Linked DNA regions of Macaca mulatta. The protein of the gene in region 1 interacts with the protein of each later gene in a pairwise test. Links are inferred from orthologs where the notes say so. Each region holds a gene or a part of one and is shown in the gene's direction. Other genes may lie near its edges. The genes, in order: alpha-2-macroglobulin and C14H11orf58.

Evidence for each region.
Region 2: the proteins of alpha-2-macroglobulin (region 1) and C14H11orf58 interact in a two-hybrid assay, tested with the Homo sapiens proteins (2 studies listed by BioGRID and IntAct). The link is inferred for Macaca mulatta from reciprocal best matches to the Homo sapiens genes A2M and C11orf58.

What each region holds. Positions count from the first base shown.
Region 1 is NC_133416.1:11,489,327-11,493,744, forward strand, and holds the start of alpha-2-macroglobulin, read left to right. Parts: upstream 1-1,356; 5' UTR 1,357-1,426; coding exon 1,427-1,512; intron 1,513-3,756; coding exon 3,757-3,940; intron 3,941-4,418. UniProt on the Homo sapiens protein: Is able to inhibit all four classes of proteinases by a unique 'trapping' mechanism. This protein has a peptide stretch, called the 'bait region' which contains specific cleavage sites for different proteinases.
Region 2 is NC_133419.1:48,715,470-48,719,839, reverse strand, and holds the start of C14H11orf58 (small acidic protein), read left to right. Parts: upstream 1-1,311; 5' UTR 1,312-1,483; coding exon 1,484-1,546; intron 1,547-4,370.

The sequences.
Region 1 (4,418 bases):
CAAGCTTTCCAGGAAACAAATCTGAAGTCAATCCACTGATTACTCCTCTGAATACCTTAATATTGTCGACAAGTTCCTTTCTGATTTGAAGCATCAGAAAGGAGTATTTCCTCCATACCAAATAGTTTTCATTTCATGCATGTGCCGTGATTCTTCTCCCTCCCAGACCTTTGCGTCTGTCATTCTTTATGCTTAGAAAGCTCTTTTCATCTCCTTGTTCTTCTAGACAACCACTACTCATATTTCAGATCTTAATTTACATTTTGCTTTCCCTCCAAATTTTTTTAAAAGGTTCCAAGTCTGGGTTATGTGCCCTTCCTATGTGCTCCCAGAGCATCCTGAACTTCTCCAATAATATGTTTGGCTACTGTATTTTATACAGTAGTTTTATATTGTATTTTATACTGTATTTTATACAGTAGTTGTTTTTCTGTTTTTCTGCTTTTGCCTCCACAAGAATGTAAAAACCTTTAAGTGCCTGTTTTCATACTGATTTGACCACTCTATCTCGAGAATCTTGCATGATGTCTACTCCTAGTAGGATCAAAAAATACTTACAAAGCAGCTGAATAGCTACATAAATAGATGGATGAATAGGATGGATGGATGGACTAATGAAACTGTTTATATGACTTAAAGTTTGCAGAGGAGTATCATATTTGGAAGGCAGTAAGGAAGTTTGTGTAGTCGATGCTAAAGGCAGTTGGGAAGTCTGTTAGGCACAATAGGTCAAAATTTGTTTTTAAAGTCCTGTTACTTCACCTTTCTTTGTTTCACTTTCTTAAAACAGGAAACTCTTTGCTATGATCATTCTTTCAGGGCCTGGCTCTTCATCTGCAATCCAGTAATATCCCTAATGTCAAAAAGCTACCGGTTTAATTCATGTCATTTTCAAAGAGGACTACAGAATTCTGATGTGGCTTCAAACATTTAGGGTAGGCATATCTAATGGAGAACTTGCAGCCACGCTGACTTGTAGTGAAATATCTATTTTGAGCCTGCCCAGTGTTGCTTAAATTGTAGTCTCCCTTGCCAACTATTCATACAAGAGATGTGAGAACCACCATAAAAGGCGTTGTGAGGAGTTGTGGGGGAGTGAGGGAGAGAAGAGGTTGAAAAGCTTATTAGCTGCTTTACGGTAAAACCCAGAGAAAGTGAGCTCTTACGGGAATGTGGCTTTAGCCCTCCAGGGATTCTATTTAGCCCGCCAGGAATTAACTTTGACTATAAATAAGCCATCAATGACCTTTCCAGAGAATGTTCAGAGACCTCAACTTTGTTTAGAGATCTTGTGTGGGTGGAACTTCCTGTTTGCACACAGAGCAGCATAAAGCCCAGTTGCTCTGGGAAGTGTTTGGGACCAGATGAATTGTAGGGAGTAGGGTGTAATACAGTCTGGTCTCCTCCAGCTCCTTCTTTCTGCAACATGGGGAGGAACACACTCCTTCATCCAAGTCTTGTTCTTCTCCTCTTGGTCCTCCTGCCCACAGATGTCTCAGTCTCTGGAAAACCGTGAGTTCCACACAGAGAGCATGAAGCATTAACCTAGAGTCCTTCATTTATTGCAGATTTTTCCATCATTCCTTTTTCTTTCCTATGATACTGTCGCCTTCTTGTCTCTAAGGTTCCTTGCAGATTTTATAAATCTGGTTTACTCATTACTTGCTTATTTTTCATCATTCTTCCCCAACTCTCTGAATCTGTAATATGCAAAGCCTTCCTAAGGAGTGTCAGAAATTTTTAGTTTTTTTGAAAGAATAATATTTAGATTTTCCTGTTCATATTGATCTACTTGAGACCATGCTATTTATCTTTTCTTATTTCCTCTTTCTTAAGGGTCCAGTTTCTATTTTATAAAAATAAAGACAATTATCTCCCACAACCAAACATGGAATAATGCCCTGGAGTATAATAATCTGTAGACTGCCAAATAAAGGAACAATTTGAAATACTGGTGTTGATATTGAAAAAGCGAGAGATTCTAATGTCAGAAGAGAAAACCCTTTTGCAGATGAGGTGGTGATGAATTCTTTGTTTCAACACAACTAAAGAAGGAACTAAAGGAAATACCAGCTGATGAGTGATGAGAAGCAATTCTTGATAATAGAGTACTAGGTGATTTTTAGCATGTAATGCAGAAGTTGCAAGAAGTGGTAACAGTGATGCAATTGTTTTACCTGCCATTTACTTACTTTTACATGAACCATTCTTCTTAGCACTTATATCTACACAAAACAAAATAGTAACAGAATTAATGTTAGATCTTGCTTAATTCTTGCAATACGGACTATTCATCCATGGATACATAAATTCACTGGGGGGAAAAGCAGTTCATCATTCTCATTAAAGATGTGCTTCAAAAGTATTTTAATTTTATATCTAATATGTATGAATCATACTTTGTAATGTATTTATTTTGTTTTGATCAGTTATATACAAGTATTTTTTAAATAGCTCAATCAGAAGGAAATGTTTAATATTTATAAATTTATGGTCACATTCTATTTAAAAGAGGAGTTAAAGTTAAATTTACCTATCCACATATGTTACATATATATGTATTTATGTATATGTATACATATATGTATATATGTGAACATGTGTATACATACATATATGTGTAGATGCTTGATAATAAAGAGGTAAGGATAATTCACAAAATTTTTTGAAATATAAAAATTTAGGATAAACTTCTGTACAGTAATTGGCATGGAAATTCAAATTAGAAAAGGAAAAAAGAAGAGAAAGATATTATATATCAGATCATTAAAAGAATTTTTAATGTATTTTCAAATAGTGATAGTAGGTATCTTATACTACAGTGTTTATTATTCCATGAGAAAATTGTAAAATTAATCTAAGTATTAATTTAAAATATCATCAAAAATAATATCTTTTGCTATTATTTAAAATCATGATAAAAATATGTTTACTTGAAAATATGTAAGGAGCGCACAGTGTCCAAAAATTATTTTAGGAGTTCTGTGAGTAAAACCATATAAAAACTACAGGATTCATCTTAAATTATGTCAGGGTACTGAGAAAGTTTCTGTACTTCACATGAGTTACCAAGGTCTAAAGTCAATCACCAGAGGACCGTTTTTGCATGGAGCCATCGTCTGATCATGAGCTGAAAGGCAAATATTTAAAATGCAAACATCCATGGTTAAGTAACACTCTTAAGACTTTATTAGCTGCTTACCACAACTGAGACTGTAAAGCAATGGCTCACTTTCTTTGAGGCTCAGATTCCATATTTGTGGAGTGGGAGCGGGTACTTACCATACAATTTTCATAGGGCTGCTGAATGTGTGTATATGTGTGTGTGTGTATGTGTGTATATATATTTTAATGAGAATTCTATAATTTGATTAGCTTTTGTAATGTCCGCATGACTGAGAGCTTGCTTACTTTTTACAGCAACTTGAAGGTAAAATAGATTTACAACATGAACAAATGTAACTACATATTTTTATTTGAATTCAGATGTTCAGAAATTGTTCCTTAAAGTGAAACATGCCTACAAATTTTAATCTGTTAATACCTACCTCAAGTAAAATGTCCACTGCCATGGCATGTGAAGGAAAGAAGAAATAATTCTTATGCATGGCCTTCAACAGCCAAATTTCATGCTCATCAGTATGTCTTCTCTTGGTGTAGAACTGATGATGACAATTATTATGATGGGAAAAAGTGCTGTTGATATCAATGCCTCTCTTCCTTCACTTTCCTCTAACTGAACTGTCTCATTCCCAGGCAGTATATGGTTCTGGTCCCCTCCCTGCTCCACACTGAGACCCCTGAGAAGGGCTGTGTCCTTCTGAGCTACCTGAACGAGACAGTGACTGTAAGTGCTTCCTTGGAGTCTGTCAGGGGAAACAGGAGCCTCTTCACTGACCTGGAGGCAGAGAACGATGTGCTCCACTGCGTCGCCTTTGCTGTGAGTGTGGCTGTTTGACTTAATATACTTGGTTATTTTAGTCAGGGTCATAGGGATCTAGTATTCTGTCAAGATGAGGCTTTGGGAGGCTGGTAAGAACTTCAGAAAGAATTCAAATGTAGCAAGCTAAGTATAGAAATTGAAGAGCAATGCATGACTCTCCAGCCATGGGAGACAAATATTTACAGGCACACTAAAAATCCACTTAATAATCAAATAGAAACCTACTAGCCAGAAAGGAAAAGAAAAACAAAATGTGACTTCTTAAAATTAAGATGGAAAAAATATTAATAAAGCAAACTAGGCCAAGGCTCAACTTGAGCCACCAGTGGTGGACTGACGGGAACACATTGCTCCACACTACTTCTAAGAGTAAAAATTGTAGAAATTGCCCTGAGCAAAGGTACAATATCTCTTCAGAGTTGTCCACATGTGAGATGCTTACAGCCTAGTGTCAGTAAAATACGAGTTTTTTTCC
Region 2 (4,370 bases), on another chromosome or scaffold:
CAGTGACGCCATCTCAGCTCGCTGAAACCTCCGCCTCGCGGGTTCAAGCGATTCTCCTGCCTCAGCACCCCAGTAGCTGGGATTACAGGCATGCGCCACCACGCCAGGCTAATTTTTGTATTTTTAGTAGAGACGTGGTTTCACCATGTTGGTCAGGCTGGTCTCGAACTCTTGACCTCGTGATCCACCCGCCTCAGCCTCCCAAAATGCTGGGATTACAGGCCTGAGCCACCGCCCCCGGCCTAGTTTTTGCTTAAAAAAAAAAAATCACGTTTGTATTCAAGGTGAGAAAGCTTCAGAATTACTAAGGACAAGGATTCTGACAGAAAGTTCAGACCTAGTTACAGATTCAGACACCTTGATAAAGTAGGAGATAGTCTCCAGTATCTTAACAATAAATACTTTTAAATGCAAGGCTTTTTGAGTAGAGGCGCGATTACTTGAATCTGGAGAGGGCGAGAAATGGGGAGGGACTGCTAACGGGCATTGGGGTTCCTTTTGGAGTGGTGAAACGTCTTGGAATCAGAGGTGACAGCCGCACACGATTGTGAATGTACTAAGTGCCACTGGACTGTACACTTTAAGATGGTTTTTATGTGTGAATTTCATCTCAATAATTACTTTTAAAAAAAGTGGGGGGGCTTATGTGGCAGGGATGGACTTTGCTTGGTGAAGGCCCCTACCGTACGGTGCCCAGACATCTGCAGCGAGGTCAGTGAGGAGCACTCCCACCTCACACAAAGCCATATGAAAACTTAACAGATTTCCCTCAGCTGAATCCCCGTTTTCAATAACCGCCAATTAGCCAACATTTAACAACATACTGAACTCATTTCTGTATGGGAAAATAGCGAAATATTCATCAAAACCTTTAGAAAGCAGCATCACCGGCCACCTAGAAATCCCCTACGCGCAATAGAGAACACCGGAGTGGAAATGGTAGAAGCCATTTTTTAAGGTTTTTGTCCTGGGTGGAGAGTATTCGTGAGGATTCAGTCAGCCTGAAATATTACATTTAAACACAGGTGCCTAGTTACGATGATACATTTGCCAGTAGGGCAGCGTCGTGAAAGGCAAAAAGCCCTCTAAGCCACCTCCTGTGGCGACCAAGCTCTCAGTCAACGCTCACCGCCATACTCATCCGCGAGAACGCTCCCTCCACCAGCCAAAGGCGGGGCCTCCGAGGGCACTCCCGCCACACAGCGCGAATTGAGCTTCCGGGCTTCCTGGGAATTGTAGTTTTAGTCACCGACACATCTTTGTTATTCGGGCCAGTATGCGGTGACTCAGAAAACTACAATTCCCAAAGTGCCCCGGGGCGGCGAGGGGCCGCAACGGTGACGACTGTCGCAGAGAAGGCCGGGAGGGGCTCTGCGTTCCGGAGTGGTGCTGCTTGGGCCGGTGGTGGATTGCAGGCTGCTGGTGTTGCGGCTGGGGAGAGCGGCTAGAGGGTTCGGCATTTTTCGTCGGGATCCCTGCAAGGATGAGTGCTGCCAGAGAGTCTCACCCGCATGGGGTGAAGCGTTCGGCCTCCCCAGATGACGATGTAAATAACAATGGCGGAGTGGCAGAGGGTTGAGGCCTACGAAAGGCTGGAGTAGGCCAGGAAGGGTGGTTGGAGGAGGACGCGCCTGAGGTGGCCCGCAGCGGGAGAGCCCAGGGGAGAAACCAGAAGAATGAGTGGGAAATGTCTCCCTTAATCTTTATGAGGGTGAGAAGGTTTGAAGAGGCCCACACGCTGGGAGCCGAAGACCTGCGTAGGAAGGGGGATTGAGGAAGGAAATTCGGAGAGGGTCGAGGAGTGAAAGAGCTTAGTCAAGGGATTTCTTACGTGCGTTTTGGGGGGCCGATGAGGATGGTTTCTCGGGCCTTTGTGCTCACGATAGAGACGGCGAGACTCTCCCTGTTTTGGATTCTAAATGTTCCTGTGACAATGTCGAAATGTTCGTGCACATTTGGACAGATTTTCCTGCCTAGATGATTTTTGCAATGTGCAGTTGATAGTTAACTTTAGCTGCACTAGTAAGGGTAAACCGAGAACAGTATTGAGCCGAAAATTGTGCCACGGGTGTAATTTGGTACTGGCTTTGGTGGTGAGGTCTGAGACGTTGAGACCTAGAAGCCCATTTTGATGTCGGATATTAATACCTTGTTCTTCTTACCTCGTCTCCCCATCAAATGCCGTTCCCTTCTCCAGCCCCCACCTCATAGGTTTTAATAGCAAACGGTTTATCTCTTAAAGTAACCTATTAAATATTTACTGCAGTGCCGGGTGTTGGGAATTCGGAGAGAAATATGATGCTTATTTTAGGCCTTTTTGTATATTTGCCCTAGCTCGTAGCGCAGTGTCATGGAAACAGTAGGTAACCAGTAAACGTAAAAGTAGGTCCTTCATACAATGGATAAATGTCTTGGCAACGTTGATGGGGAAATTGTTGGAGAGGGAGCGGAGAGGTCATCTTTAAGGATGATGAAGGGATATCTAAGTTTTTTTCGGTTTTGTTTGAAGTAGTGTAAATTTCTGAATACATAGAGCTTTTAATTTTTCTATTTCCGTGCTTTTCATAAAATTTTAAAAGCCTACTGAATACTACTTTGTAGCAAATGAGATGGTGTTAAGACCTGCCCCTCTGAGTGGGAGGTGGGGCGAGGACCGGAATAGTAAGGGTCTTTAAAGGAATCGACTTCAGCTCTGCAGAAAGATTAGCTATCAATAAAGATTTGGAGATGAATGGGCATCTAGAGAAGTTTATTCTTGCTCTCTGTTGTTTCTGCTACTGGCTTTTCGATCTTGTTAATATGGTAATTCAGGTTTTGTCAGGAATTGATTCACGTTTTTGAGTAACCTGGCTCACTTAAAAAGCTGTTAACATTGTTTTCCTCCTGATCTTTAAATATGACTTGATTGCTAGGATGTCAGACACCTGTTTGGAAGTATCTTTTAGCGTGACAGAAATCTCCAGGTGATACGAAATTTCACAAAGTTAAAGGGATTAAGTCATTAAGTTTACAGCTTTGGAAGAGATTAGACGACCTTTAAGACCTTTCCCAATCATGTAAGCGTATCTTTAAGTACCTGGGTTTTGTTTTTGTTTTGAGACTGGTGAGACACGGTCTCTCTCTGTTGCCCAGGGTGGAGTGCAGTGGCACAATCAGTGCTCCCAGCAGCCTCCACCTTCCTGGCTCAAGTTATCCTCCTGATTCAACCCCCTCTCCCCACATCACCACCACAGTAGCTGGGACTACAGGTGTGCGCCACTACACCCAACTAATTTTTTGTATTTTTAGTAGAGACCAGGTTTTGCCGCGTTGCCGAGGCTGGTCTCCAACTACTAGACTCGAGCAATCTGCCCACCTTGGCCTCCCAAAGTGCTGGGATTACAGGTGTGAGCCACCTCGCCCAACCAGTACTTTAAAAAAAAAATTTTTTTAACCATAGGTAATACATTCATTAAAAGACCTCCAAGCTGTTGTAGGAAAAAAAAACTAGCAGGCCGGGTGCAGTGGCTCACACCTGTAATGCCAGCAGTTTGGGAGGCCGAGGTGGGCAGATCACAAGGTCAGGAGATCAAGACCATCTGGCTAACACAGTAAAACCCCGTCTCTATTTAAAAAATTAGCCGGCCATGGTAGTGGGCGCCTGTAGCCCCAGCTACTAGGGAGGCTGAGGCAGGAGAATGATGTGAACCTGGGAGGCGGGGCTTGCAGTGAGCCGAGATCGGGCCACTGCACTCCGTCCTGGGCGATAGAGCAAGATTCTGTCTCAAAAAAAAAAAAAAAATCTAGCTGTAACATATAGTTGGGAAACAGTTTCTAATGAGCATCCACGGTATGTAAGAGATCATTGAAGTTTTCTTATGCCCATTGACCTCACATCTAATTGGGGTAACAAAACATTTTTTTAATATTAAAAGTAGATAATCACAGAATACAACTCTAGCAAAATGCTAACAATGTAGGAGTAAATTCTAAGTCACCAGGGTGTGTATTCAGAAGGTAAATTGATTGCAGTTCTGTAGGAAAGGGTATTAAGGATGAAGACAACTTAAAAGTAGTTTCAATGGCTTGGAGTGGAGAAATGAAAGCGATCTTATAGGAAGTGGGAAGAGTGGGGAGTAACTGCTAAGGAACCTCTCTTAAAATGTATAGTGCACCCACGTGCTTTTCAGAAAGCAGCATTTGGACAAGGTACTCACTGTTGCACTTTAAGGCAAGGGTCTCCAACCCCTGGGCCACAGAACCAGGCTGCACAGCAGGATGTGAGCTGTGGGCCAGCCAGCAAAGTTTCATCTGTATTTACAGCCACTCCCCATGGCTTGCATTACCACCTGAGCTCTGCCTCCTGTTGGCATTTGATTCTCATAGGAGCG